Ovis aries: one gene and its partners. The protein of the gene in region 3 purifies or fractionates together with the protein of the main gene of each other region. This does not show direct contact. Links are inferred from orthologs where the notes say so. Each region holds a gene or a part of one and is shown on either strand. Other genes may lie near its edges.

Evidence for each region.
Region 1: the proteins of MAPK1 (region 3) and STAT3 purify together in Homo sapiens (affinity purification with western blotting; 3 studies listed by BioGRID and IntAct, with this or other methods). This does not show direct contact. The link is inferred for Ovis aries from reciprocal best matches to the Homo sapiens genes MAPK1 and STAT3.
Region 2: the proteins of MAPK1 (region 3) and DUSP9 purify together in Homo sapiens (affinity purification with mass spectrometry; 5 studies listed by BioGRID and IntAct, with this or other methods). This does not show direct contact. The link is inferred for Ovis aries from reciprocal best matches to the Homo sapiens genes MAPK1 and DUSP9.
Region 4: the proteins of MAPK1 (region 3) and ERF purify together in Homo sapiens (co-immunoprecipitation; 3 studies listed by BioGRID and IntAct, with this or other methods). This does not show direct contact. The link is inferred for Ovis aries from reciprocal best matches to the Homo sapiens genes MAPK1 and ERF.
Region 5: the proteins of MAPK1 (region 3) and hyaluronan mediated motility receptor purify together in Homo sapiens (affinity purification with mass spectrometry; 4 studies listed by BioGRID and IntAct, with this or other methods). This does not show direct contact. The link is inferred for Ovis aries from reciprocal best matches to the Homo sapiens genes MAPK1 and HMMR.

The regions. Positions count from the first base shown.
Region 1 is NC_056064.1:42,219,620-42,225,515, reverse strand, and holds the start of STAT3 (signal transducer and activator of transcription 3), read left to right. Parts: upstream 1-2,478; 5' UTR 2,479-2,653; intron 2,654-5,896. UniProt on the Homo sapiens protein: Signal transducer and transcription activator that mediates cellular responses to interleukins, KITLG/SCF, LEP and other growth factors. Once activated, recruits coactivators, such as NCOA1 or MED1, to the promoter region of the target gene.
Region 2 is NC_056080.1:80,630,319-80,636,138, forward strand, and holds the start of DUSP9 (dual specificity protein phosphatase 9), read right to left. Parts: upstream 3,867-5,820; 5' UTR 3,719-3,866; intron 1-3,718. UniProt on the Homo sapiens protein: Inactivates MAP kinases. Has a specificity for the ERK family.
Region 3 is NC_056070.1:72,033,298-72,039,302, forward strand, and holds the start of MAPK1 (mitogen-activated protein kinase 1), read left to right. Parts: upstream 1-2,495; 5' UTR 2,496-2,510; coding exon 2,511-2,544; intron 2,545-6,005. UniProt on the Homo sapiens protein: Serine/threonine kinase which acts as an essential component of the MAP kinase signal transduction pathway. MAPK1/ERK2 and MAPK3/ERK1 are the 2 MAPKs which play an important role in the MAPK/ERK cascade.
Region 4 is NC_056067.1:50,600,414-50,606,242, forward strand, and holds the start of ERF (ETS domain-containing transcription factor ERF), read left to right. Parts: upstream 1-2,115; 5' UTR 2,116-2,246; coding exon 2,247-2,268; intron 2,269-5,829. UniProt on the Homo sapiens protein: Potent transcriptional repressor that binds to the H1 element of the Ets2 promoter. May regulate other genes involved in cellular proliferation.
Region 5 is NC_056058.1:72,741,261-72,746,486, forward strand, and holds the end of hyaluronan mediated motility receptor, read left to right. Parts: intron 1-126; coding exon 127-303; intron 304-2,396; coding exon 2,397-2,559; intron 2,560-3,524; coding exon 3,525-3,544; 3' UTR 3,545-4,463; downstream 4,464-5,226. UniProt on the Homo sapiens protein: Receptor for hyaluronic acid (HA). Involved in cell motility. When hyaluronan binds to HMMR, the phosphorylation of a number of proteins, including PTK2/FAK1 occurs.

The DNA of each region.
Region 1 (5,896 bases), on a different chromosome or scaffold from region 3:
ACTTTGAAGAATGAGTAAGAGTTTTCCAGTAGGGAATGAGGAAAGAGAAGATATTCCAGTTGGAGGCAAGGGGATTTGCAGAGGCGTAAAGTTACAGAAGTTGTTTGGAGGAGGGTAACAAAGTCAGCGTAGGAGCTTCAGGTGTTTAAGATGGAGGGGATGAGATTGGGAAAGGGAGTTCAGGTCAAAGCATTGGCTCAGGTGAGAGAAACTTCTGTCTTCAAGCCAAGGGGGGCTCTGTAGTATGGAGAAAGGCCAGTGGCTGCACTGGAGAGAGGTTTCATAGGTGAAACAGATAGATTCAGGGGTAGATTTTCTGTGTGAATTGAGAGGAGGGCAGTGAGGGAAACAAAGGTCAGCAGAGGAGTCTGGAAGGAGGGCAGGGTTCAGGTGGATGGAACAAAGTTGTGAGATGTAGATTCTAAAAACCTGGCTCTGGGGACTTCCCGAATGGTCCAGTGGCTAAAACGCTGCACTCCCAGTGTAGGGGGTCCAGGTGTGACCCCTGGTCTCCATCCCTGGTCAAGGAACTAGATGCCACATGCCACAACTGAAGAGCTCACATGCCGCAACTGAGGGAAAAAAAGACCTTGCCACGAAGACCCAGGGCAGCCCAACAAAGAAATAATAAAGACTTTAAAAGTAATAAATATAATACATAATAAAAACCTGGCTCTGAACCCATCTGGTATACCTCTGAGTATCTGTGATCTTGAGATGATCATCCTATTTCTATCATAATTTCCTATCAGTGGATAATATAGCCTCTATCTGCCGCTTATAATTGTTGTGAGAAACAAGAGTGTATCAGTAAGAAATATATAAATATCAGCCCCTATGTTATTAAGGAGGTAGTCAACTGCATGGGAAAGCACAGCTGAAGCAGAGTTTAGGTGAGGTGGAAGGTGGAGGATCTGCCCTGAAGGGAAGATTAAGATGAATGCAGTCACACACACATACACACACTACAGACAAATATAGCAATTTCCAGGCTGGGCTGGGTCTATGGGAGAGCAATAGGAAACTTGCAGCTCCACCAGGAAAGACCCTACCATTTACCCTATAGATGCTCTCACCTCTTTATTTGCATATATGGTGGTCCAAAGGTCTAAACTAGGGAACCAGAAGAATTTGTGAGTAAAATGTCATGCTGTGTATTTCTGGGACTAGAATCCATAGTCTCCAACAAACTCTCAGATTCCCCAAAGGTTAGGAGTCATTGATTTTCCCACCAGAAATTAAAGAATAGCTATCCTTGGCGAGAAGGACTGGTGGGGGAAGGAGGCATATTTTCAGTTTTAATTTTCACGTTTTCTGAACTGTCTGAATTTTCTAACCACAAACATGTGTTAGTTTCATTGAAAAAGCTGTCATCAAGGTTTATTTGGGTGTTGAGATAACAGGCCCTTTTTAGATTTCATCTTTAATACCTCTTTGTACTAAACAAACACTAATAGCTGTTATTTTTAAAAACCCTAATAGTCTTACACACACACACACACACTATAATGCAAAGAACATCTATTATGTGAGGTGAAATGTCTACATTTCCTATAAACTACTGGTTAATGCAGTAAAACTTTCATTCGAAGTAGATGAGGCGAAAAAGATAAAGGCACGCAATTTCAAGTATTTCAACTCAGACGCATAAAAACAATGTGTATACGTGTCATTCTTCATTGGTACTGTCTCCTTATTCCCTTGAACCTGCCAATGTGCGAGCCGTTGGCCTTTGATGCTTGAAGCGACGGAACGAAGGGCAGGGTTAAATCCACTACCTTCTCCCCACGCACTCTAGTAATTACTCTATTTCCACGTCATGTTTCCGGGTGTGTGTGTCCCGACTCACGCAGAAACTGAAGTTCAAAGCAGGCGGGAGTAACCCATGTTCTTTTTGCTGTCCCCAGAAACCCATTTCGGGCGTTGGGCCCCTAAAGGATCTGGCGACACCTGAGGACTGTCTAACTGGCTGATTCCCACGTGGTAAGTGCCCCCAACCTTGCCCCCACGTGGTGCCAAGGGCCGGGAAGAGGGAGAGCAGGCAGAAGGGAGCCGCATCAGGGGCATTTAAAGTGTCTTGACGTCACGCACTGCCAGGAACTCAGCTGAGTTTTCAGCAGGACATTCCAGTCATCTTCCCTCCCTCCCCCCGGGCTCCTCTGCCCAGGGCCTTGGTTCTTCCCCAGTTGTTGCGGAGGGAGGAGCCCTAAGAGTCGGAACAGCCAGAACAGGGGCGTTCCCAGCCTTGTATTGGCTCCGCCCTTCCACCCAGAGGCTCTCTTCATTGGCCAGTGGGTGGGGCTTCGGATGTAGAGTCTGCTCAGCAGGGCTTCTGGGTGGCCGAGAAAACTGGTCATGTTATGAATTATACATGAGCGGCGTGCCTAGGCCAAGCGGGGGCTGGGCGGGGATTGGCTGGAGGGGCTGTAATTCAGCGGTTTCCGGAGCTGAGGCGGCGTAGACAGGGAGGGGGAGCCTGGGGTTCCGACGTCGCCGCGGAGGGAGAGAGCCCGAATCGGATCCCTGACGAGCACCCCAGCTCCGCGCTCTCCCCGCTTCTGCCAAGGGAGACTCCGCGGCCTGAGGGAGCCCCGCGGCCCGCACCCCGGCGCAAGCGCAGCCCCGGCCAGTCGGGCCTCAGCCCGAGCAGCAGGTGAAGGGGGTTTAAGGGTGGGGCTGCCCCCCGACGGCCTCCAGGCCTGGGCATCCCGGGGGAGGAGGGGCGCGCTGGGAGCTTCTGGGGTGTTTGGGGGAGTAGTGAATGGAAACTTCAGTGGGGTCAGGGGGATACGAGGAGACACGGAGAGTCGCTGTGAAGGGACAGTTCCCCGGGATGACAGGAGCCGACCTCTGAAGGGACGGGGTGCGCTGGAAGGAAGTTTCGTTCTTTGGAAAAAGGGGAGACGCAGAGGAAGAGAGAGAATGGACTGGAGGGGGAGGACCGTGGGGCGAGGGTACTCTAGGGTTGGGGGGCAGGAGCGAGGGACAGCCCCCCGACTTCCTGCTCCCTGGGGCTCTGGGGACGTTCCGGCCACGGGAGCCACTGTCACGCCGGCGGAGATCACGGAGTGGGGGGGGGGGGGTTGGCAAGCGCCTCCTCCCCGCCCCTCGGCGGGCCCGGCGTCTCCCGGCTGAGCCACTTCCTCCGCCTTGCCCTGTTCCTGCTCCTTTAGGAGCCAGCTGTGCCCCCCTGGAGGAGGTAGGAATAGGTGTCTTCCCTTTACAGCCTTGCGGGCTGTTTGGTTATGGGTAGGATTATTGCATAAGATTCAAGTTTCCTGTAGGGAAATTGACAGCCTTGTACTCTTTCTAAACTCCCCCCAGCCTTTTTCTGGGGTAAAGTCGTGTTTCCCTTCTCCCTCTTCCAAAAAAAATCCAAATAAAACCCCCATCAACCCAGCTCTAAAGAGAAATAAACCTTTTTCCTCCTTGACATTGTTCTTTTATAACCACCTGGTAAACTTGGCCAGAAGATAAATAATTGAGCCCTTGCGTTTACTGGATTGTGGTGTTGCTTAATTGCATAGAACAGAATGAACCAATAGAGAGTGGGAGTTTTCTGTCTCAGAGCCAAGATCTTGGGTAAATGCGGAGAGAGAAACAAAGACAGGCTGGCCTTGGCAAAGCCATGTGTGCAAACTTTACCTGTGTTTGGGGGTGTGGTTGCACTTCAGTTAGCTTAATTCAAACCGTCACCTGAGTGGTTTTTTCCATGTTTAGTCCACATCTTTCTGTGTTATATCAAGTGGATGCATGATATTGACACACTTATTCTTATTAAAAATGTATATAACATGTCCTTGCTGGTTGGTTAAATAAATAAAGGGCATATTTATTCTGTGTGTGGGTTGTAATTTTTTGGTTGGCTGAGCTAATACAGCATTGGTTTGAAGAAATCAGAACTGTAAATTATCTCAATCTTTTATATGTGGATTTAGACTGTTATGACTTGATTTAGCCAATTTTATGTTTTATATCAAATATGTCTGTACTCCCTGAGTCAGCACATTTATTTCCTTATTACATGTGCCAGGCTGAGCAATGGCACCCCACTCCAGCACTCTTGCCTGGAAAATCCCATGGATGGAGGAGCCTGGTGGGCCGCAGTCCATGGGGTCGCTAAGAGTCGGACTCGACTGAGCGACTTCACTTTTACTTTTCATTTTCATGCATTGGAGAAGGAAATGGCAAGCCACTCCAATGTTCTTGCCTGGAGAATCCCAGCAACGGGGGAGCCTCGTGGGCTGCCGTCTGTGGGGTCGCACAGAGTCGGACATGACTGAAGCGACTTAGCAGCAGCAGGCTGAGCTACTAGTAAAATTTTTGCAGTGACATTTGCACAGTGGGATGGAGGAAAGAAGTCTTTAATACCAAAAAAAAAAAGAAATTGTAGATGCTAGAGGCTTTTTTTGTGTGTATTTATTATTTATTTATGGCTGGATAGGGTCTTAGTTGTGGTGTGTGGGTTCAGTTGCCCTGAGGCATGTGGGATCTTAGTTCCCCCACCAGGGATTGAACCTGACTCCCCTGTATTGAATGCGCAGATTTCTTAACCACTGGACCACAAGGGGAGTCCCTGAGGCTTGACCTTAATCTCTATATTTGCTAGCATATCTACCACAAAGAACCACTAGAAAATTCATAAATCTTCTATCTTTATATGTAGTTCTTTTGGGAAGAATAGCCATCTAGAAATATCCATAGTTATGACTTGACCCACAAAGGGTAGATAGTTCATGTAACCTTAACTCTGCTTTGAAGATAAGGAAATTGAGGTGTAAGGAACGAGACACTTGCCCAGGCAGCAACATACCATAGTGATGGAGCTTGTACCTTCTGTATATTTTGTTTGCTTTTGACTATCTATGCTTAAGTATTAGGTCTTAATTTAGAGTGACTGTAGGCCCTACTGGGAAAAGTGTCAGTGAAATTCTAACACATACCTAGACCATCAATATCCTATAAGACTCCAAGGGAGATATTTAAAATAAACAGGTGAGTCCCGTTTAGGTTATTACAGAATATTGAGCAGCATTACCTGTGCTATACAAAAGGTCCTTTTTGATTATCTCTTGTAAAATAGCAGTGTGTACATGTCAGTCCCAAACTCTCACTCTCCTTCCCCTCAGGTAACTTTTTAGTCTGCATAATTTACCATCAGAATTTAGCTATTTGCTAATGGAAAGAGAGATTTACTGAGGCAGGTTTGTAGGTGAAGGACAGTCATGACCTAAATGTCATTTAAACCAAAGTGTCTTGTGGCTTAATCAGTGGTCATTTGTATCTCCAGAAGGTTGCTCTTTCCTCCTGCCTCTGCATGTCATGACTTTCAGATGGTGAGACAGGGCAGAGGTGGTGGCCATCATTCCAGAGGCCGAGTCCAGCACCTTTAAACCTTATGGCTTTCTCAGAGGTGATGTACAGATCAACAAATATTTACTTTTTACACCTTTGTGAAAGTTGTTATGAGGAACAAGATACCTTGTTCACAGACCTTGCAGTCTACTGCGACATCTTCATAAATTTCTTATCCATGTAATGCAACTTGATTTCCTCAAAGAGATGGTGAGACTATAAGCCCATCCTGTCCAGCAAGGCAACTGTTACATGTTTTAAAACATATAGCACAGATTTAGAACATTTCCATTATCACAGAGTGGAATGCTTCGCTGTTGGACAGTGCTTCACTAAGCGCTACAGGTCTTCAGAAGGAGGAGAGGTTATGAGTTGTCTAGAAGTCTTCTTGCCAGAGGAGAGATTTGATCTGAGACCCACATAATGGTTGGCATTTGACTGATGTAAAGAATTCGGGGCGAGGAGGTATGGTGATACAGCACAGACCCAATTCTAGTAGATTAGCAAAGTAAATGGAGGAGGAGTAAGAGGTCTTGAATGC
Region 2 (5,820 bases), on a different chromosome or scaffold from region 3:
GGCTGCCTCCTTCCTAGTCAAGAGTCAAGGGGTTTCTGCCTAATCAAATGTCTTTCACTTCTGTACTGTCCCCTCTGCCCCCTGTGCTGGCCCAGGTCGCCATCAGAGCTTTCAAAGCCCTCTCCCCATCTCCAGGCCTGTTTGCCTCAACTCCCCTCAGCCCTGCCCTACAGCAAAGGCCCCACGGTGGCCTCCACACTTGGGCCCTTGTTTGCAAGGCACTCCCAGGCCAGCAGGACAGGTCAGTAATAAACCGAGGGATGAAATGAGAGAATACCAGGTGTGATAATTGCTAAGACAATGAAATGAGGTGGTGGAGCTTCTGAAAAGTCTGGTCTATGCCCCCCCCCACTTTTTTTTTCTTTCTTAAAGCCCTAAAGCAAATAGGCCAGTTGAAGGAAGGTGTGCAGCAGATAAAAGAAAGCTCATACAAATTAATCAAAAAGTTGAGACTCCTATAGGCACATGGGCAAGGAACCAGAAAAGACTGCATGAAGGAGCACATGCAACTGGTGCAAGTCATTTGGAGAAAGGTACAACTTCACACATGGGAAGGAAAAAAAAAAAAAAAGCCCAGCTAACAATGACAGAAAACAAGGTAACACTTCCTGCTTGTTACATTAGTAAAATGTTCTCAGATTGAGAATACCCAGTGCTGGCATGGCTGCTGTGAGATGGGCATGTTGCTCTGTTGCTGATTGCTAGAGGTATGCTGGTGTGACTCTTTGGGAAATTAACTTGGTAATATATATCCAGAGCTGGGAAGAACCCCACACTGGGAATCTACCCCAAGGAACTAAGTAAACAGAGGTAAAGCTATGCACACAGGATGGGTACCATAAGAGGGGTAACTAAGGAGTGAAAGGTGCAAAACTGCTGGAAGGTCACTGATCAGAACATAAAATAGGATGGGAAAAAGCAAGAGGTATTGCTGGGGAGAGGGCAGGTCACAGATAGCCAGGTTGCCTCATAGGGGCCTCTGGTTGCCCCTTCCTACCCTGCCTCCCTTCCCAGCCCAGTGGGCCACCAGGCTGAGACTTGTCTCCAGCCACACTCCCCCATGTCTTGGTCTCTGGGATGAGTCCCATCACCTGGCTCCAGGGGCCGTGGGCAGCTGGGCTGGGTCCCCTCGCCCTTAGCCTGGGCTGCCTCCTCTGCAGCCTGTCCTGATTCTATTCCTTCTTCACTCCCCTTCCCCCAGGTTTCTGTCTCCCTCCTCTGTGCTCCAGACCTCAGTTCCCTGAGGTTACCAGCTAGGCTGGAGCCGAGTGGAGGGGGGCGGGGGTTTGTGTGTGCATTTCATTTCTCTCACATCCCAGTTCCCACAGGCAGAGGTGGGAAGCCACCAACCCTGGGGGGCTCCCTCCAGGCCTGCTGCAGCTGTGGGCAGGACCCCGGAGTGGGCTGGGGTTGAAGGCACCCAGGGGTTCCGGGATGTGCCAGCCTGGTGTGTCTGGCTTGGCCAAGTCGCCAGAGTGGGGGTGGCTGCCCAAGAGAGACACACCCTGCTCCTGTCCGGTGCTGTGGTCTCGGGGGTTGGAGAGAGGGTCGCCCTGCCGTGCCAAGGCCTGCTTTCTGGAGAGGGCTCTCTGGGGGAGGGAACCAGCATCAGGCCAGGGAGGCAAATTCTGCCCCTGGGCGGGGGTCGTGGGGGTCTGCCCCTTGCCCAGATCTCTGCTGGTCAGCTGAGAGTGAGCTTTGCGGGGGGGGGGGGGGGGGGCGTTCAATCACCAAAGTGCTCACTGCCCAGCGCCAGCAGCTCCCGCTGCGCCAGAAGCAGGAAGATATCCTGAAACCTGTTGCCACCTCCGCAGTGCAGGGCTGAGTGCCACCAAGCCCCCCTCCCCCGACCCTCGCCAGGCCCCCCGCAGCGCCGGCTGAGGTGGGGGCTCCGACACTGGGCCCCGCACCCACTTCCCAGGCGCGCGCGCTCCAGGCGCGCAGTGGCCTCCCCAGGCCCTCTCAAGCGGGCAGAGCTCGGCCGCGCACTTCCCGTAGGGTGGGCGCTGCGCCCGCCGCCCGCCCCCTTCTCCTGCCGGGCGCCCCTGGCCTCCGCCCAGCCCAAGCAGTGCCCCTCGGAGGCCGCGGAAACGCCGCTGCCCATAGGCCTCTAGCGCGCTGCCCATGCGCCCCTGGGGCCCGGGAGCCTCCCGAGAGCGGCGCCCCGCCTGCTCGCCACAAGCCCGCCTCCACCCCCAAACACTCGGGTCCCCGCCGGCCTGGTGGCGGCAATTGGGCCGTCCGGCCCGGTTAGAACTCCCAGACACAGCGCTCCGGGCAAATCCGGTGTCTTTTCCTCCACATCTACTTTCCGCCGGGGATGGCTTTTGCCGGGTCGGCCTCCTGGCGGGACTGGGAGTTCCTCCATGGCAGAAGCGGTTGTGTACCCTGCCCTGAGCTGGCCCCAGCCCCCCAGGGAAGGGCCTGGCACGCGGCGCTCATGGAAGAAATGCTCGGGAACAAAGAAGGCATGAATGAATGAAACCAATTGTTGCACCAGGGAGCCCGGGGGGTGGCTTTCTCCCTCAGCAGGTCACTCACCCAGACACACAGAAGCACACGTGTGCACGTGGTTCCTACCCTCCCCCCACCCGCCCCCCACCACACTGGCAGGCGGACACACACACACACACACAGGCACTCCGATTCCTGCCTCCAGGAAAGCCACCTACTATGTGCTTGCCAACACCTGGGGCCCCTTTGGCCGCAGCTGGGTGGCTTCCATCTCAATTGCCTGCCTCTCCCTTGCCCTCCCCCATCTAAGTACAGTACCTTGCACCCCCAGTGCCTTCCTTATCTCTTAGGGACCAGGCCAAGTCAGTCTCTGGGGAGACCCAGGGCCTGTTTAGGGAGCCACCTGGGGGGCCTCAGGGTGGTGAACCACTGCTGCAAAGGCGAGCCAGTGGCGCCTGGCAGAGATGCCACCAAATGCTGCAGCCTCCAGAACCCGTGTGCCAGGTGTTGGAGGGAGGGACTGAAATGTGTTAGAGGACGTGCAGGGCTATGTGCCATGGGTGCGGGCCAGGGTGTCCAAGAGCCAGAATCCTGCAGGTGTGCACACATATTGGGGGTGTACGAGGTGCAGGCCTGGGGAGCCAGCTGGGCTTCAGGAGTGCAGCGTCGGCCTCTGGGTGAGGGTTCCTGTTGGGGCTTCGTCCAGGGATGGGTGGATGTCAGCGTCTCTGGGCTGGGAACGTGGGTGGGGTGTCTGTGATGAGCATATGGGGAGTTGGAGATGGTGCAGGCCGGCGAGGGGAGCTGTGTTAGTGCAGATATCCCAAGGATGTGTTGGGTATCTATGTGTGTGTGTGCGTCTGTGTGTGTGTGTGTGTGTGGGGTGTGTGAACGCGCGCGCGCACGCTCTCGCGCGCCTGGGTGTGTACTGAGGCGTGGCAGCGTCTGGGATGGGTGCTGGCCTGAGTTGGGGACAGTAGTCGATGGTGACTTAGCGGCTGCCGGGGCGTGCACTGCAGGGCCCTGGGTCCGCGGTGCACGGTTTGTGCACGCGCGTGTAAGTGTCAGGGGGTGTGCGTGGCCATGGACACGGAGTGCACGGGCGGGCGCACTGAGTGGGTCTCCCAGGGGCGCGTGCGTCGGCCTGGCGGGGTGCGCGCTGGCGAGACTTTGGGGGCGCAGGGCGGAGGCGCACACACGTCGGGGGGGCGGCCAGGCGGGGTGGGGGTGGGGTGGGTGCCCGGGCGCCGCGTGCCCCGCTCACCTCCGTTCCGCTCGGCTTCCTGCGCCGGCTCCGCGCGTCGCGGCCGGGAAGTTTCCGAAAGCCCGGCCGGCGGGAAGCGCTACCGCCGCGGCCGCCGCGCGCCACCGGAGCCTCGGGCGGCGGCCTCGCCTGGAGCCGAGGGGCCGCTGCCGCCGCCGCCGCCGCCGCCGCCGCTGCGGAGGGAAACTCCAAATCCCGCCTCCGCCGCCGCCGCCTCCTCCCCTCCCGCCGCCGTCTTCTCCGCCCCCTGCCCAGGAGGGGCAATGTCGCCGGCGGAGGCGCGCGAGGAGGGAGCGGGGAGGGGCCGCGGCCTGCTTGGCGTCTGCTCCCACCTCCCCTGCCCGCCTGCCTCCCACCTGCCGCCCGCAGCCCGCTCTGCCCTCGGCGGCCCCTCTCGGCGGGGGCGGGGGGATGCCCCTGCAGCCCCGGCTCCCAGCCGCCTCGCCGCGGGGTCTCCGAGCCTGGGCCGCCAGAGTTGGGTGGGAGGTCCTGACCTCGGTCGGGCCTGGGCTGGGCTGCCTGGAACAGTCCGCCCTGGCACTCCTGCGGCCATCGAGGACCAGGCACAGCTTGGCCCCCGGGGCCACCTCCTGATGTCCCAGGGGCTAAGCTGTAAGGTCCGGGTGAGAGCATCCGAAGCGCCCAACCCGCGGTCCTCCGACCCCTGTCTTCTGCCATCCTCCCGTATCAGATTCTGGCTCCTGGAGCTTTGGGGCTTGAGTGCCTGGAAGGGGTGCGGCCAGGACGGTGGGGGTGGGTCAGGGAGGAGGTGCTGTCTGCAGGCCTGGGGTGCTTTCCTCTGGCCCTCGGGCCAGGGTCCGCCCCCCATAACGGGCCTCCTTTGGTTTTTACACCCATCTGGGAGTTGGAGGAGACGGTTCCCCTGCTATAGGTAGGGAAACTGAGGCAGTGGTTTCCCGGGGGTCACGCCGCTGTGTGGTGACAGGGCCAGAGTGGAGGGGGACGCAGGGAGGGCTGGGATGCCAGCGGTAGCCTGAATTCCCCTGAGTCATCACCTTTGGGAAAGAGAGGACAGAGGCTGCATGTTTGGGGATGGAGCAGACCTCACCATCTCCCAGGGCCCTCACCAGCTTTGCAGCAGTCTCTCTCCAGGGTGTGGGAGCTGGGGCAGGGTCCAGATGCCACCAGCCTGGCAGGCCCAGCCCGCCCTTTGGCCTCCTTCGGCCCTCAGCACGTGCTTGCCCTTACCACCCTTCCCTCTTGAGCGGCTGGGCCTTTCGGGGCTACCCTTGCTGGCAGGTGCATCTGTGGGCCGGGCTGATCGTTCACCTCCCATTCAGCAGCAAGGCCCCAGGGGCTGGCGTGGAATCAAACTGCCAAGACGATGGCACGCAGGTGGGCAAACGAAACCGGTGGTGGTTTGGGTGGGTCCTGCCACTCTGCCCCATGCTTCTGTGCCATCCATGCTGCCAGCTGTCCTGGAGTCAGAGGGCCCTTTGCTAAGATAGCAGCCTGTGCTAAAAGGCATGCCGTTCAGCAATAGGACCATTTTGGTCTGTCAAGGGGCAAAATACACAGAAACCAGAAAAGATGGGGGCCAGCTCCCCTGGGGACCCTCCCATTTGGGGAAGACACACGGCAGCCGTGCCCCTGGCCCTGGGCACTCAGCCCCCTGCAAAGGCTTGGTGAGCTGACTCACAGAGGAGTTTCTGGAAAGGTTGGAGGACGACCCCCCCCCCCCGCCCCAATTCTGTGCTTTAGTGACTCAGGGCTGAACGGCTGGAGGAGGAACATTTGGACTGGATGATGCCACCCTCACCCCTGCAGAGCTGCTATCCCAGCCCTCCCACAGGGCCTTTGCACTTCAGGCAACAAGACCCACCCAGCGCTGGAAGCGAAGAAAGCTAACCTGAACCACCAGGCCAGTCCTGGGAGCTCTGAGGACACAGACCTGGTCTGCCTGGGGAAACGGGGGCCACCTGCCTCATTCTCAGGGGCTTGGCTAGCCAGGCCTAGCCTGTGATCCTGTTGAGGGATGAGCTGGAGAACCTTCTCGAAGAGGACTTGAGTGAGAGGCCAGCCATGTCAGAATTGAGGCTGTTTTGAAGGCACAGCTGGGCCTGCCTCTGAGGCAGCCAAGC
Region 3 (6,005 bases):
TGCTGCTGTGTAATATGGTGAAGTTGGTTTCGCAATGACTTTTTATTCTGTGTGTATTTTTTGGCGCGTCTTGTCTTTTTTTTATCGGGGGATAAGCACTTTACAATATTGTGTTTCTGCCATAGCTCAGCATGAGTCAGCCACAGGTAGACGTATGTCCCTCCCACGTGAGCCACCCCCCTTCTCCCTCCCCACCCCACCCATCCAGGGTGTCGCAAGGCAAATCCCCACCTGCTGCCTGGTTTGCACACGGTAATGAACATGTTTCCAGGCTGCCGTCTCTGTTCGTCCCCCCCTTCTCCCACCGTGTCCACAGTCTGTCCTGGGTCGCCATCGCTGCCCTGCAAACACGTTTATCAGTCTTTCTAGGTTCCAAATGCATGTGTTAATATACAATGTCTGTCTGCTCTTTTGACCATCTTTGCTAACAACAGTAAATACTCAGAGTTTGTCCTTTGAGCTGAGATTTTCATATTTTTATACAGGGATTTTAGCTACTTAGGTGTTTTTTTTTTTAACATTTCCCTTATTTGTTAGACCTACTTTAACTTTCTGTCATCTAATTTTCTAGTATTTTGACTTTATTTTTTTTTTTAATGATTCCTTGCCATTTCTTTTCTGATTATAATGTGAGGAAAGTGTCTATTACACCTCTGGTTATAGGTCTCGATTTTTGTTGTTTGAATTACCTTCTTCCCTTTATCTCTTGTAACTTGACACGAAGAGCTACCTCATTGAAAAAGACCCTGATGCTGGGGAAGATTGAAGGCAAAAGGAGAAGGGGGTGGCAGAAGATGAGATGGTCAGATAGCATCACTGACTCATAAGCACAAACTTGAGCAAACTCCGGGAGACAGTGGAGGACAGAGGAGTCAGGATGCGGCGACTGGACCACAACAAAAGCGGCAAATAGTCGATCAGGCAGACATAAAACTTTTTACACTGAAAAAAAAAGAAATTACGCGATCTTTTACAAGAACTCTTTTCTCCGTTTTATGCAAAACGAAGGCTTAGTACCTTGCTTTTCCCTCTTTCTTCCTCTCTGGTTTCCATTGCATTAATCTGAGGTTAAAACCCCGGTTTAAAAAAAATCCTCTTTCTCAATTTTTCCCTTTTGCCGTTTGTTTGTTACCATAGCAACAACAATTACTTCAGCTCATCAGCCTCAGTCTCTACTGAGTGGTGTTTTTATTCAGTTATCTCTCCATCTTTAGCTGGTTTCGAGGCTCACTGCCAGTTCTTTTCTCTCATTTCATCATTCATGAGTTTCTGATTCATGTCCCAGTGATTTATTGTATGATTCTGAGCAATTTTTGCAGAAAAGGGAGTTAGTTGGGTCGTGTATTAGTCACAGACTCTTGTGGTTGCAAGTGACAAAACCCTACCTCAAATTGACTTCAGTTAAAAAGGAGAATAGATATTGTCTCACGCACTTGTGAAGTCCAGCCTTGGCTGAATCGTTAGACCGTGTCGTCAGGAAATTGGCTCCGTCCCTGGACCCTGCTTCCCCGTCCCAGCTTTACCCTAGAGGGTGGTTCTCAGGCTGTGGCGTGTTTGGCCCCAGTCCCATACCCCCTGCCCTGGCAACCTTGGCGGAAGGGAAGTGCCCCTTTCTAGTTGCTTCTGCAGAAGGCTGGGCTGAGTGCCATTGGCTTGGATCAGGTCTCACGCTCATCTTTTGAACCAACATCTGTGACTCTGACTGGAGATCCCTGGGTCACAAGCTTATTCCTGACTTGGGGGGTGGGGCCAAATGCTCTAAGTGTGTAGAAGGGAGAGTTCACCCCCCACAGAAAGAAAACTGGATTGTTGCTACCAGAAGGAGAAGGGGTCAATGTAGGCAGAAAACAACAGATGCCCATGTCTTCCAAGACCACAGATCTGCGCACTGTCGCCTCTAGAGGGACACTCAGGAAGACATCCAGCAAGCCCTCTAAGCAGGGGCTTAGGTCTTGGGCTTCCCTGCTGGCTCAGCTGGTAAAGAATCCGCCTGCAATGTGGGAGACCTGGGTTTGATCCCTGGGTTGGGAAGATCTCCGGAAGAAGGGAACAGCTATCCACTCAAGTATTCTGGCCTGCAGAAGTCCGTGGACTGTATGTATAGTCCATGGGGTCGCAAAGAGTCTGACGCGACTGAGCAACTTTCACTTAGGCTTGGATAGCGGCTTCCGTGGGCTCCTGGCTCTCCAGAGCCATGTTCTCAGGTTCTCAGCTCCCTGCTTCTGGAAATTTGTCGTTGTCAGTCTAGCTAGATGATTCTCCCCACCGGGCCTGGCTCGCGCCAGCCTGACTCGGCAGAGGCTGATGTGTATCTAAACCCCATCTCGGAGGGAACAGCAATTGCCAAAGGACCTGAGCAGGGCTGTCTCCTGGTCAGTGCACTTTCCCTGTCGAAGACCACAAGGGAAGCCAGACTCTCATCACAGGGTTGCTTAGCGACCACAGAACCAGGCAAGAGAAGTTCTCCGGAGAAAGTCAGTGACTTTAAAACGCCCACAGATGCTAGAAGAATGAGGAGACGACACGTTACCCGCAGAGAGACAGGTATGTGGCGAGGTTGGAGGGCAGAAAAGAGCTGAGAGCTGTCTGGTCTGTCTGGAGCACGGGGAGCGGGCAAAATCAGGGTGGAGGGCAGGCGCTGTCATACATCACTTACATCTCAGCTAAAAAGAAAATAAAACAGTGCTTTCCCAAAGTGTCAGATGCATATGAAACCACTAGGGATCTTGTTAAAATGCAGATCCTGAGTCAGTAGATCTGGGGTGGGGCCCAGGATATTGTGTTCCGAACAGACCCCCACCTGATGCTGGTCTGAAGGCCACACTTTGAGTAGCAGTGATTTCCAAAATACTGAAAAAACAGAATGTATAGGAGTTTGCAATGGGTCAGATGCAGGGAGGGGTTGGGAGTAAGGTAAGATGCATTGTGAGGAGCATCCCCAGACCTCAGCTGCAGGACCTGGGTGGTGGTAGGACCCAGAAGCCTGAGATGAGGGACAGGTCTGGGTGGGGTCGATAGTGATCAGAGATGACATATACCGAGCGGTCGAGTGGGCCTTGGAAAGCATCGCTAGAACAGAGCTAGTGGAGGTGATGGAATTCCAGTGGAGCTGTTTCAGATCCTGAAAGATGATGCTGTGAAAGTGCTGCACTCAATATGCCAGCAAATCTGAAAAACTCAGCAGTGGCCACAGGACTGGAAATGGTCAGTTTTCATTCCAATCCCAAAGAAAGGCAATGCCCAAGAATGCTCAAAGTATGGGACAATTACACTCATCTCACATGCTAGTAAAGTAATGCTCAAAATTCTCCAAGCCAGGCTTCAGCAATACGTGAACCGTGAACTTTCTGATGTTCAAGCTGGTTTTAGAAAAGGCAGAGGAACCAGAGATCAAATTGCCAACATCCCCTGGATGATCGAAAAAGCAAGAGCTTTCCAGAAAAACATCTATTTCTGCTTTATTGACTATGCCAAAGCCTTTGACTGTGTGGATCACAACAAACTGTGGGAAATTCTGAAAGAGATGGGAATACCAGACCACCTGACCTGCCTCTTGAGAAATCTGTATGCAGGTCAGGAAGCAACAGTTAGAACTGGACATGCAACAAACTGGTTCCAAATAGGAAAAGGAGTACGTCAAGGCTGTATATTGTCACCCTGCTTATTTAACTTATATGCAGAGTACATCATGAGAAACGCTGGGCTGGAAGAAGCACAAGCTGGAATCGAGATTGCCGGGAGAAATATCAATAACCTCAGATATGCAGATGACACCACCCTTATGGCAGAAAGTGAAGAGGAACTAAAAAGCCTCTTGAAGAAAGTGAAAGAGGAGAGTGAAAAAGTTGGCTTAAAGCTCAACATTCAGAAAACGAAGATCATGGCATCTGGTCCCATCACTTCATGGGAAATAGGTGGGGAAACAGTAGAAACAGTGTCAGACTTTATTTTGGGGGGCTCCAAAATCACTGCAGATGGTGACTGCAGCCATGAAATTAAAAGATGCTTACTCCTTGGAAGAAAAGTTATGACCAACCTAGATAGTATCTTCAAAAGCAGAGACATTACTTTGCTGACTAAGGTCCGTCTAGTCAAGGCTATGGTTTTTCCTGTGGTCATGTATGGATGTGAGCGTTGGACTGTGAAGAAAGCTGAGCGCCGAAGAATTGATGCTTTTGAACTGTGGTGTTGGAGAAGACTCTTGAGAGTCCCTTGGACAGCAAGGAGATCCAACCAGTCCATTCTGAAGGAGATCAACCCTGGGATTTCTTTGGCAGGAATGATGCTAAAGCTGAAGCTCCAGTACTTTGGCCACCTCATGTGAAGAGTTGACTCATTGGAAAAGACTCTGAAGCTGGGAGGGATTGGGGGCAGGAGGAGAAGGGGACGACCGAGGATGAGATGGCTGGAGGGCATCACGGACTCGATGGACGTGAGTCTGAGTGAGCTCCGGGAGTTGGTGATGGACAGGGAGGCCTGGCATGCTGCGATTCATGGGGTCGCAGAGTTGGACTCGCCTGAGCGACTGAGCTGAGCTGAGCTGAACTGATTAGGTGCCAGGAGCTTTGCATCTGTTGTCTTATTCTGTGCAATAGGGAGGTAAGTGCTGTTGTGATCTCTGTTTTAAGAGTGGGGAAACTGAGGCCAAAGTCATACAGGTAGTAAGCAGAAAAGCCAAGGTTCAAGCTCTACCTTGCGGTCTGAGTGCAGGGCTCCTGCGGGTAACCGTCGACAGTTTGGAAAACGTGGAGCCGAAGCCCCTGTAGGTTGTCTAATGGATAACCTACCCTCTCAGACTCCTGCCAACTTGTTCCCATTTTTATTTGGCATTTTATTATTACAGAGGAGACATCGGCAGAAAACCAGCTTTCAGCTTTTTAGTTTTCGGCTGTGCTTTGAAACATACAGGATCTTCGTTTCCCAGCCAGGGATCAAATCTGCGTCCCCTGCATTAGATGGTGCTCTTAACCACTGGACCACTAGGGAAGGCCCAGCTTTCAGCTTTTCAAATAGTCCTTTTTTTTTCTCTCTCTCTCTTAAATGATCAAATACTGTGTTTTTCTATCTCTGAGAATTCAGGACTTTTCCAGACTATTATTTTTTTAATTCATTAATTAACTTTTGGTTGTGCTGGGTCTTCCTGCTGTGTGAGTTTTCTCTAGGTGCTGAGAGTGGGGGTTACTCTTCCTTGCCATGTGCAGGCTTCTCATTGCAGAGGCTTCTCTTGTTGCAGAGCAGGCTCTACGGGCTTCAGCAGTTGCTGTGAATAGGCTCAGCTGCTCCACAGCGTGTGGGATCTTCCCGGACCTGGGACAGAGGGAGTGTCTTCTGCATTGGGCATTTTTTTTTTTTTTTTTTTTTTTTACTACTGAGCCACCAGGGAGGCCCCTCCAGATTATTTCTTGAAGTTGGTTTCTGTTTATTTTTCTGGATTCAGAGAACTCACTCAATTCTCCCTCTCCACCCCAGATCTTTTTAGACCGAAGGCAAAATTTCTTTCGGTATAATTTATCACGTCTAATGGATTTGCTGTCTTCTTCGGGGGTGCCTATAGCTCGACTCTCTGTGGTGTTCTCCTGTGCGTTTTCTTCTCCAGGAGCTTCATCACTTACTTTTCCTCATAGTTGTCTTCTATGTTGCTGATCGGCCCTTCTGCGTCGTTCCATATGCCTTTTACTGCTCTGACCACCACTTTTACTTTGGCTATCGTGATTTTAATTTCAGGAGACGCTCCATTTTCTCAGCCTGTTCTTTCAAACCAATGTCCTCTTTTTAATTGAGAATAAGAATGAGGTGCTTTCTAAACCTGGGTTCTGCTTCACAGGCTAAATATATTTATTGCAAAGGAGCTTTTGGCTCCAGCACTCCGTTTTCTCCTGCGCACACATTCTTTTCCTAGAGGGTTCATTTATTTTTTTTGCTTGGAGATTGTCTAGTTGAGTTTTGTTGATGCCTGGAAGTCCAGGCTCTCAAGACCACAGCGCTGGACAGTCAGGATGCAGGGT
Region 4 (5,829 bases), on a different chromosome or scaffold from region 3:
GCAATTTCACTGTCCATGCTTGTGTGTTTGCTGCCTACAGTTGGAATCTCTAGGCTTACATTGTCTACAGGTTATGCTGCTCACTTCTGCTAATTATCACCAGTATTTATTGCCTACTTTTCTCAAATCTCTGATTTCTCATAATAACCTAATCATTAATACCCCCATTTTACAGATGATGAAGCTGAGGCTTAAAAAGATCAGTTCACTTGCTCTATACAATCTCTCTCACATACAGGAAATAGCAGTTTGGGTTGCCACCCTGGTCTCCGTCTTCTGGTGGGAGTATAGAGGTCTCTGAGGCTGTAGTTTGGATCTATTATCTTTTAAACTTGGCATCATCTTTTTCTGAGGGGTGGGGCAGTAAAAGACATAATAAACTATACTGGTTAAGGGTGGTGATTTTGAATTGGATAGACTGGATTTGAATCCTGGCTCTGACAGTTTCTGAGCCTTGCTTCATTAATCTGTAAATGGGGCTAACAATAGGAATTCCCTTCTTTGGGGTTTTGTGAGGCTTCAATGAGAAGATGTCCCGACAACGCTTGGCCCAGCGCCAGGCACATCATGAGCGTTAGCAATTCGGGAGCTGTTATGATAACAATGATGATGGTTATTATTGCTGGACCACACTGCTCCCAGAGGGTTACAATATCCGTGGGGGAGCTGCACTGTCCGTAGGCAAGGTTACATAATTCCCCAAGGGGGTGATGCTTCCTGGGAGGCCCTGGTCTCCCCAGGAAGAGGCCTGAGACTTCTTCTGAGGCACTGCTCAGGGACTGCCCTAAGGCCTCTAGGAACCCACCAAAGGAGGGTGGGCTTGAAGCCCTAAGCACCCAGAACCTAACCCTTCAGGCCTTTCCTCTCTATTCACTTCTCCCTATCTTGGTTTCACTCTCTCTGAGCATCTCCTCCCCAACCCCCTTTCCTCTCTTTTGGTACCTCAGAGTCTTTTCTGAGATTGTTTCTAGGATCAGCCTGTGAATATAACTGCTGTTTGCCCTCTACTGTTGGCCATCTGATCATTGCTGATTTCCTGTTTCCCGAAGCCTCAGGCTCCATCCATTCCTCCCAGCTGCAGAGAACAGACTTAACACATCCCTACGCACTGGCCTTCATCCTTAAGCCCTGCCTTCCTCTCTCCTGGTGACCCCTTAGTGTCCCTGGGGAGCACATTTGTTCAGACTTTGGTCACCCCCTCGCATCCTGGCTCCACCCCCGGAACCCCCCTGCCCTGGAGGTGGAAGTGGGGGTACCTCCGGCGCCAGCGTGTTCCCAAGACAGCTGCAGTCGCAGATGGGGGGGCGGCTCTTGCGTGCTTTCTCTCTGGTCACTTCCTCCCCAGATGGGACTGGGGCTATCTGGAAGGCCAAGACCCTATCCCTGGAGGAGCGGAGGAGGCAGCCGCCTCCCCATTTCCGACACTGGGAAATGCTTCCCACCCATTCCACCCCACCCCTGGACAGCTGCCCCCAGTCAGGCTCAGGGTTGGAGGGGGTGCGCATGGTAAGGCCAGCCTGGGAAATGTGGTCTGGATCATCCTCCGAGGTCTTGACCCGACGCCCCCCCCCCCCCCCCCCCCCCGGCCTCCTGCAGAGAAAGTTCTGCCTCTTCCGAAAAGGTCCATACTCCTCACAAAAGTTTCTGACACTCATCATAAGGTATCCCCCAACCCCTCTTACAGGCTTCCAAAGAAAATGTGGACCCCGCAGTGGGCAGGAGAGGAGGAGGAGGGGCGGCAAGTCGCGGATCCTGAGGACTTAAAGTTATCTTCAGACTTGGAGCCTCAGAGAAAGGTCATGACCCCCAGGACCCCATCCTATCCCAGTCTCTCCTTCTCTCCTCCCCCGTCGCGCGGCCCCTTTAAGCCTAGCGCCGGCCGGTCCTCAGTGGCAGCGCGCCGGCGAGTGTGTGTGTGTGTGTGTGTATGTGTGTGTGTGTGTGTGCGTGCGCGCGCGTGTGTATGTATGTGTGCCTGTGTGTGTCTGTGTGAGTGCGCTGGGAGGGGGCGGGCACAGTGTCTCCATGGCGACGCGGCGGTGACGTCGCCGGCCGGGGGGCGTGGGCGTCCCGGCCCCGGAGTGCGATATTAACCCGGGAGGCGGCGGCGGGGAGGGGAGAGGCTCTGAGAGGCGAGGCCGGGTGAATCGGCGAGGGCGGCCCGACGTGCTCGGGACGGGACGGGGCAGCGCGGGCGCTGGGAGCTGCGGCCCGGAGTCGGGGCGCCTAGCCCCGGGCCCCCCAGCATGAAGACCCCGGCGGACACAGGTGGGGGCGGGGGCAGCACGTGTGGGGGAGACTTGTTGCCCCGGGAAACCAGGCGGAGAAACTTTGGGGGGGCTGAAGGGTTCTGGGGGAGCCCGAGTGTTCCCCAGTTGCGGGGGACCCCCCAAGCACTCGAGACCTGTTGCTTCTTGCGGTGCGAGCGGGGGTGTGCACCGGGCCCCCAATTCCTGGTTCTGGGCGCAGTGGTTGGGTGCTGCGAGTCCTGGTTCTTTCCTTGCCTGGACCCCAAAACCTGGGCTCTCCCTGACACCCGGGATCACGGGGGTGGCTGGGTTCCTCCCAGCCTCTCTGTCACGTTGCACTCCGGGGGCCGGGACGTGTGCGGGGTGTGTGTGGGGGGGCGCTATCCACAGGGCCCGCTATTCCCGGTTCCGCGCTGCACGGTCCGGCCCTTGACCTTCACCGCGATGCGTGCCCCGCACCGGCTTAGAGGGGGATACGGGATGGCCTCTAGGAGGAGGGCGTGAGTGGGGAGCCCGGGACTCGGGGTCCGGGCTGCGCCGCCCCTCCCCCGCCCGTCTCCGCCGGCTCCTCGCTCCCCCGCCCGCGCCGAGTCGCAAAGTTCCAAAGCGCAGCCCGAACGTTCGAAAAAGGAACTTTTTGTTTCCGACCTTAGAACGCGCGGCTTTAAGGTCGCTCCGGAGAGACCTGGGATCCCTCCTCCCTCGCCGCGGGGGACCTGGGGTTGAGGAGGGTGGGGAAGGTGGGGGGGACGCGGAGGCTCCCCCCCCTCGTTCCCCCTCCCTCATCCAGCTCTTCTCTTTCAACCGGCCGTCTCTTCCCTCCGCCCCCCTCTTCCCCGCCAACTTGCTCCTCCTTAAGGGACCAAGGTTCCCCTCCCCCCCCCTTCGGTCGGCGGGCGGGGGGCAGCAGGATTAACCCCCCCTCCCACTCGGACTTTCCCCCTTCCCCTCCCCCGCCGCCCCCGGGCTCTCCAAGGCTGGACTTTGCGCCCGGGCGCGCTGGGGGAGGGGTCCCAGCCGCCCCCTGCCCGTCTACCCCGTCGGAATCCGGCCCGGGGCGGGGACGGGGGAGGGGGAAGGGGGCCGGGCGCCGCTGTTCAAACTTGTTTCCTTCCCCCGGCGGCGGCCGCGGCTACGGCTCCTGTGTGCGGGTGTGTGCCCCGACCGGCCCACCCACCCCGCCCCCCCTCGCTGGGCGGGTGGGGGCGGCTCTTAAAGGGCTCCGAGCCGGGCTCGGGCGCCTGGGGATTGGGGGCCGAGGAGGGGGCTGGGTGTGGGCAGGGGCTCGGAGTGCAGTAGGGTCAGTCACGTGCGTCCCACATACTCTCTGGCTCCTGAAGGCTCCAGGGCCGCTGGGCCTCGGGGGCAGCCGGAGCCTCCCTTCGCCGGAGGAGGGGGCCGAGGGACCGAGACAACCCCGCCTCGTCTTCGCTCCCTGCTATGGGCCTTCGCCTGGTGGGACCGGCTGGGCCGCTCCCCCATCCCAGTCTTGGGGCCGCGCCGTGTGTGGGTTCTCTGGCTGGGGGAAGGGGCGGGAGCCTCTTCTGGCCTCCCGGTGGGTCCATGGGTCCATCTGCCTCCTGGCTGGCCGCTGCGCGCCCCTCCATCCGATCCTCTATCCCGGCCCCACTCTCCTCTGCCGCGGCTGTTTCCCACTTCCTGTTTTCTTCCCGGCCCTGGCGCCACCGAGGGCTGCCTGGAGTGGGGGAGGTGGTGGGGCCCCCCAGGAGGCCGGCGTGTTCTTCCTCTACCACTGCTCCTCCCTTCCGACCCCCATAGTCCTTTTGAAAAAAGTTTGGGCAGTTAAGGTGAATTTGAGGGGTGCCCGAGAATTCTGCACCCCGCGCCCGCCCCCCCACGCCCAGGTTTCCACAGTCTGTCTGGGAGATTCCCTACCCCGCCTGTGTGGGATCCAGGTGTGTCTTCTGGGGCCCCGCCATCCCAGCCCTTCCTGTCTGCTGCCTCTTCTCCACCCTGTCTGGCAGTGTCCTCAGTTTTTCTGTCAGCTGCTCTGTCTCTGCCTCACTGTCCCCCCCGTGCCCCGGAGGTCCTGCATCCCCAGGCTTTCTTGGTGTAGGCCGGGTGGTTCCCTGTTTTAAGCACGTGGACTCATACACAACATACACTCACACATGCTCCCCTTGCCCGTGCCTGGCTCCTGGCTCCAAAGCCTGGGGAACAGAGCCCCATTGAGACACCCTGACGTCACCCCCCATCTTCCTTCTCCCCCCAAAGCTGGGAACAGGCCCTCATGTATGCCGTGTCCGATGAGGAAAGCTGGCTTTGGGGTTGGCCTGGGAAGGCGGAGGGTCCCTGCCATGAGTGGGAGCCAGGGTCCTGGCCCCGGGGTGAGGTTGTTCAGGGAGGGGGCTTAACTAAGGGGGCCTGGGTCAACCCCCAGAATGCAGCCTGAGGCCTTTCCAGAGCCCCCCACCTCCCTTCTGAGTTCCCTTTGTGTTGCATGTAGTCTCTCTCACTCCTTCTCTTCTGCAAAGTTTATTTTTAGCCTCCTGCTCCCCCGCTCCCAGGACTGTCGCTGCACACACGTTGCCTGGTTACCGGGACAAGGAGGCTGGGGCGGGTGGGCTGGGAAGGGTGGCTTTAATTTTGGGGGGAGGGTGGAAATCAGTACACCCTCCCAACCCTAGACTGATGTCTCAGGGGCTTCGGCCCCCGCCCTGAGTCCAAGAGCCAGATTGGGGCTTGTTGGGGGTGGGGGCGGGGGCGTGAAGCTTGGTGCCATGAAGGGAGACAGGAGTTTTTTGGAGAAGGTTGGCGGGTACATGAAGTAGGCGGTCTCTTGGGTTCCCAAGAGCCTCTGGGCCCTGAACAAGACTGTTGGACCTGGTTCTCTAGCAGGGTGAGGATCAAGGGGTGAACACCTGGATTCCCAAGAGAGGGATGGGGCTGTGGATGTTGGGGTCCGTGGAAGGTGCTGTCAGGGGCTGTCACTTGTGAATGGAGCAGGAACTGCTGGTACAGGACCCTGGGTCTGTGACCAGCTGAGGTCATGTGGTCATATCCCTGGAGCCCTGAGGGACTGACTGGAGGCTGGGATTTTTGAATGGGGCAGGGACCAGGTGGGGAATGCTGGCCATCCCAGTCTGCCCAAGGCCAGGGGTCAGGGTTTAGAGTCAGCTCTGATTTAGAGGGAGTGGTCCCTTTGGGACCAGGAGCTGCTGATCCCCAGCGTCCCCATCGGGAAGGCTCCCCTGTTGGATTCCAGACTTGGGTGGGGGCTTTCAGGGAGATTCCATGTTGCCTCAGGTTGGGGTGGTGCTGTCTTCAGCTGGGGTTTGAGCCAGGGCCATGGAAGAAGGCTGGCCCTTGCAGCCTGACTGGGACTTGGGGACCCACCCATCCTTAGCTGTCCACCTTGGCCTTCTCCCTCTAGTGGCACCAGGGCTCCTGTCCTGCCTCCCCCCTTCTTCTCTTCCTCCCTTTTCCCTCCTCCCACCCCTCCATTACCGGCTGCCTTGTGCTGAATTATTGATGGCCCCTGATTACCCGGGGGTTTGGGAAATGACAACAACCGCAGCCCCCCCAACTCCCCCCACTCAGGCTGCCCACCCCCTCTAGG
Region 5 (5,226 bases), on a different chromosome or scaffold from region 3:
TGGACCGCCAGGGAAATCCTGTCTTGCCGTTTTACTTTCTTTCACTTTAGTTTTCCTTGTAGTTAATATGAGTCAAGTAGGATTTAATAGTTTTAAGTCTTAACTTTACAAAAAAATCTTTTTCAGCTACAACTGGATGCATTTGAAGCAGAGAAACAGGCTTTGTTGAATGAACATGGTGCAGCTCAGGAACAACTAAATAATCTAAGAGATTCATATGCTAAATTATTGGGTCATCAGAATCTAAAGCAAAAAATCAAGCATGTTGTGAAACTGAAAGATGAAAATAGCAATCTCAAATCGGTTTGTAAAGTCACGTTTACTTTTATTGATATTGGGGTGGGTGGTTTTTATTTTATCATGGTAATACTGACTTCATAAAATGAGTTAGGAAGTGTTTCACCCTTTCTATTTATGGAATATTTCGTGAATTATTGGTATTCTTTACTGAATGTGTAGTGGGATTTAGTGGTGAAGGCACTGGACCTAGACTTTTCTCTGTGGATGGTTTTTGATCAATAATTCAATCTCTTCACTTGTTATAATAGATCTATTTAGATTGACTATTTCAACTCAAAACCTATGGGATGCAGCAAAAGCAGTTCTAACAGGGAAGTTTATAGCGATATAGTCGTACCTCAGATTGGCTATTTCTTCTTGAGACAGTTTCAGTAGTTTGCGTCTTTCTAGGAATATGTCCATTTCGTTTTCTGATGTGTTGGTTCACAACTGTGTGCCATATTCCCTTACATTCCTTTTGATTTTGATAATATCAGCAGCAATGGCCCCTCTTTCATTTCTGATTGTAGGAATTTGAGTCTACTCCCTTTTTTTTAAGTTCCTTTACTTCTTCAAATGTTTATAATGGCTTTAAACCCTTTTTTGGATAAATCTGATACTGGGTTACTCTCTGCGCAGTTGTTGTTGCCTGCTTTTCCCCAGTGTATAAATCATGCTTTCCTGTTTGTGTACTTTGTAATTTTTCTGTTAGAAAATGGATGTTTTAGACAATATGTTGTAGCACCTCTGGGTACTGCCATCCCTTTGCAGGTATGTTGTTATTTTCTTGTTTAGTGCAGTGTATTCCTCCTCCCCACTCCCCACTAGTTTGTGCCTCTGATGTTGCTGCTGAGGGAGGTTCAGTTTGGGGTGTGTACACAGTCACCCTGAGGTGATGCTGGTTTGGGTAAGGCTGCCTCCCTCTCTCCCTGATCACACATAGTTGCTGGATTATCCCTCTGTTATTTTCAACATTGCCCCAGGTCTTAAATTCCTCAACAGATTAATGTGTACAATCAATGTACAATCTGATTCTGGTTCGTTTGTTGGAACTGTGTTTTAGGTCAGTGATTGACTTTGTTCTGGCTCCAGGAGGGCTCCTCCCACCTGTCTTATTCAGCACTTCTCTTCTACAAACTAGGCAGCTTACAATTTAGCCCAGTTTTTAATCACTTCCCATTCCCTTGCACCACACAGCCTCTACTGTTCTTAAGGGCATCCTTCAGCTTGAACTTCTCTAAGCTCTGTTGTAAGTGAAGTCACTTGCTCTGGGAATAAATTAGGAGCTCTGTGTTCTCCTCCTAGGCAGAATTTCTGAGACAAGGCTTCAGATCTGGATTTGGGGGTGATGGCAAGCTTTCCTGTGAATAAACACCTCTGTCCCTGTAGCTGGAGGTTTAGTAGACTTGGGGGAGAGGGAGATGAGCAATCTGAGGGTCTCTCACTTTGCGTCTGTTGGCTTGGAACCATTGTCTCATGAGCTAGGTAAAGGGTGATCAGGGTCTGGGCATTTTCAGCACCCTGCACCTTGGTTTCTTGAAAGAAAAGACCCCCACACACACCTCTTAGCCACATTTGCTGTTGTTCAGATCAAGGAAGAGCTGGGGGCAAGATGAGAGATGCTGACATCCTGCTCCTCAGGAGAAGCCTCTGACTGGGAGCGTGGGGTGGGGGGATGGGGGTTGTGGGGAACCCTCTGCTCCAGTCTGCAGAGGTCTGGTGTGGAGTCTCTGCTTTGCTAAGCAAGTACTAGGGCGAGAGGGAACAGGATTAGTTCAAACACAACAGGACATTGCCTTTTTTAAAAAACAAAAAGCGCTTTTATGGATCTGCTTGAATAATTGTTTCTTCACTTGCTATTTTACCTTAAGGCCATTTACTTTTATCAGAAATACGACTTTGTACCTATAGAGGGACAGGAAGATTTAAATGACTTGTTATCTTCTTTGTCATAGCTGTTCATTTTGTAATTTATAGTCTGAAAGCCTGTATGCAGTAGCTTTTGCCATTAAGGTTTGAAAAAAGAGCAACTGTGGAATTGTCAGTAATATTCGTAGCACATTTCGCTAACATGATCTTCAGTAATTATTTACTGATTGTATTTTTTCTTACAATAGGAGGTGTTAAAACTCCGTGCTCAGCTTACTAAAAGAAAACAAAGTGAAGCAAAACTTCAGGAGGAATTGAATAAAGTTCTGGGTATCAAACACTTTGATCCTTCAAAGGCTTTTTGTCATGAAAGTAAAGAAAATTTTGTTCCCAAAACTCCATTAAAAGAAGGTAAGAAATGAATAAACATACAGAACTGTTATCTTCCTTTGGATTTGCTTTCACAGCACTGTGCAAGTTATCTATCTTTATGAACTGTGAAAATCTGTTAACAGTTTCTGATATCTTATATCTTTCTTGAAAACTTATCGTACTTCTTTCTCTCTTTATTTTTTTATATTATTTACTTATTTGTTTGTTTGGCCATGTGTAGTCTTAGTCGCAACACGCAGGATCTTTAGTTGTGGCATGCAAACTCTTAAGTTGCAGCATGTAGAATCTAGTTCCCTGACCAGGGATTGAACCCAGGGCCCCTGCATAGGGTGTGTGGAGTCTTAGCCACTAGACCACTAGGGAAGTCCCCTTGTCTGCCTTTTTTGCTCTTACCCACTCCCTACCAGAATTAATCCCTCTATTACACCCTTGACATTTTGTAACCTAAACATCCAATTTGTAATTTTGGAGAAGTAGATTTTTCCTTTTTTCTTTTATTTTACTTATTCACTTTATTTTTGGCTGCACTGGGTCTTTGTTGCCGCTCTTGGACTTTCCCTAGTTGTGGCGAGTGGAGGCTACTCTTCACTGCGGTGTGAGGGTTTCTCATTGTGGTGGCTTCTTTTGTTGCGGAACACAGGCTCTAGGGCACAGGCTCAGTAGTTGTGGCACACAGGCTTAGTTGCTCCTTGGCATATGGAATCTTCCTAGACCAGGGATTGAACCCGTGTCCCCTGCACTGGCAAGTGGATACCTATCCACTATACTACCGGAGAAGTCCATTTTTCTCACTTTCTTGACTACAATCTCTGTATCTTTGGCAATAAACTGAAATTGGCTGAAACAGCAAATGAAGAAATATAAATAAAATACAAGTATTGCTTCATCTTTCTTAGAGAAGGTAAACTGCTTTTTGTTCATAATGACCGATGCATTAGTTTTAATTTAGAAAACTAACACTGCTGTTTTAATACTCCTTCCAGGCAATACAAACTGCTCCTGAGCTCTTAGTGGAGTTTCAAGAATCATGCAAGTAAACATCTGAAACACCTGTTGAAGATTATTTTGTTCTTACTATTTTTATTATTATTATTTTGCTTGCTATTGTGTTTATAATATTTTTAAAATCTCTTATTTAATACTAACTTCCTGTCCTTACATATGTGAAAGGAAGTTAGACCGTTTTTACCAGTGTTCTCTGAGATTCTAGTTACAATTGTCAGTACTTCCTCCTTGATGCTCACCCTTATTACCTCATTCTAAATGTTCTGACGCTTTCCAGCTTTGCTCGCTCATCCCATCAAATCAGTAATCTTAAAAATCATTCTCATACTATCATTTCCCTATTCTGAAACCTTAGGTTTTTTTTTAGTTTGATGTGGAATACCTTTTCTAGTCTGAACCTCTTATGCTAGGCTAAAATATCTTGGCTTGTTCTTGCCACTACTTTAATTCTCCTAATAATGTTCATTCTGTCCCACCATCATCCATTTATCCAATTCGAATAAGAAATAGAGGCAAGCTTTTTTCCATAGTTATCCCTTACCAAAGCCACTAAGTTGGTTAATAATTTGCAGGTTTCTAGATCCCATCCCAGTCCTCTTAAATTATACTGCAGTTTGGTCTGGAAATCTGCCTTTTTTTTCTCCTCATAAACAGCAGTTTATGTTTTCTTAGAAACTCTGCTTGTAACCTCTTTTTTGCCACACCACGCACCAAGTGTGGAATCTTAGTTCCTGATTGAGAATCACACCCATGCTGCCTGCATTGGAAGCATGGAGTCATAGCCACAGGACTGCTGGGGAAGTCCCTGCTCATAACCTCCTTAGAGAATTTGTCTAGCTGCTTGACATCTGCCTGATTCCTGGGTGTTTGATTAATATTTATATATCATGAAATAAAATTACACGTTAAATCACTGACCTAATTATACAACTTGTATTTTATGAAATCATATTAATTCTTCTATTTAAGGTGCATTCATTGTCTCTGCCCTCCTCTCCCCATACTGTCTCCAGAATCACTAATGGTATTAATAGTATACTACTTAGAAAGTGGTCATTCTTCACCTAAAATACCTGATCTACACAGTTGGTATATTATAAGCCACCTTTTTGTCATATTTCCCCATTGATGGACCAACAGAGACTATTTTAATCAGGATAACTTTTCTTAATAAATTATTTTATTAGATCTTAATACATAGTTAAGTTCAAAGGAAATGTAGAAATTAGAAAAACTGCCCAATAAAATGGAATCATTCAAGATTTCTGCTTTTAGCCAAGATGAAGTAACATGGATCAGATTTATTGCTCCTCCTCCTACCCTACACACACACACACACACACACACGTGCACACACATGTGCACACACACATGTGCACACACACGCACGCATGCACGCACATGCACCCTAAAACTATCCAAGAATGACAAAATGTACAAAAGAATGATTTTCATGATGTTAAACGTAAAAAAAAAATCCCTAAGACTTTTTTTGGGGAAAGTCAAGGTGAATCATACAATTCATCCATGTTTGCAGCCTTGAGAGTTTGCAAACATACATGCAAGGGGAACCCAGGCAAAGCCCATCCAACTAACCGAGTTGAAAAGCCCGAAGTGAGATCTGGGGAGACCAAAGGTACTGGAGACTGCAGGACAGAGTACTGAAAGGACAAAATTGCA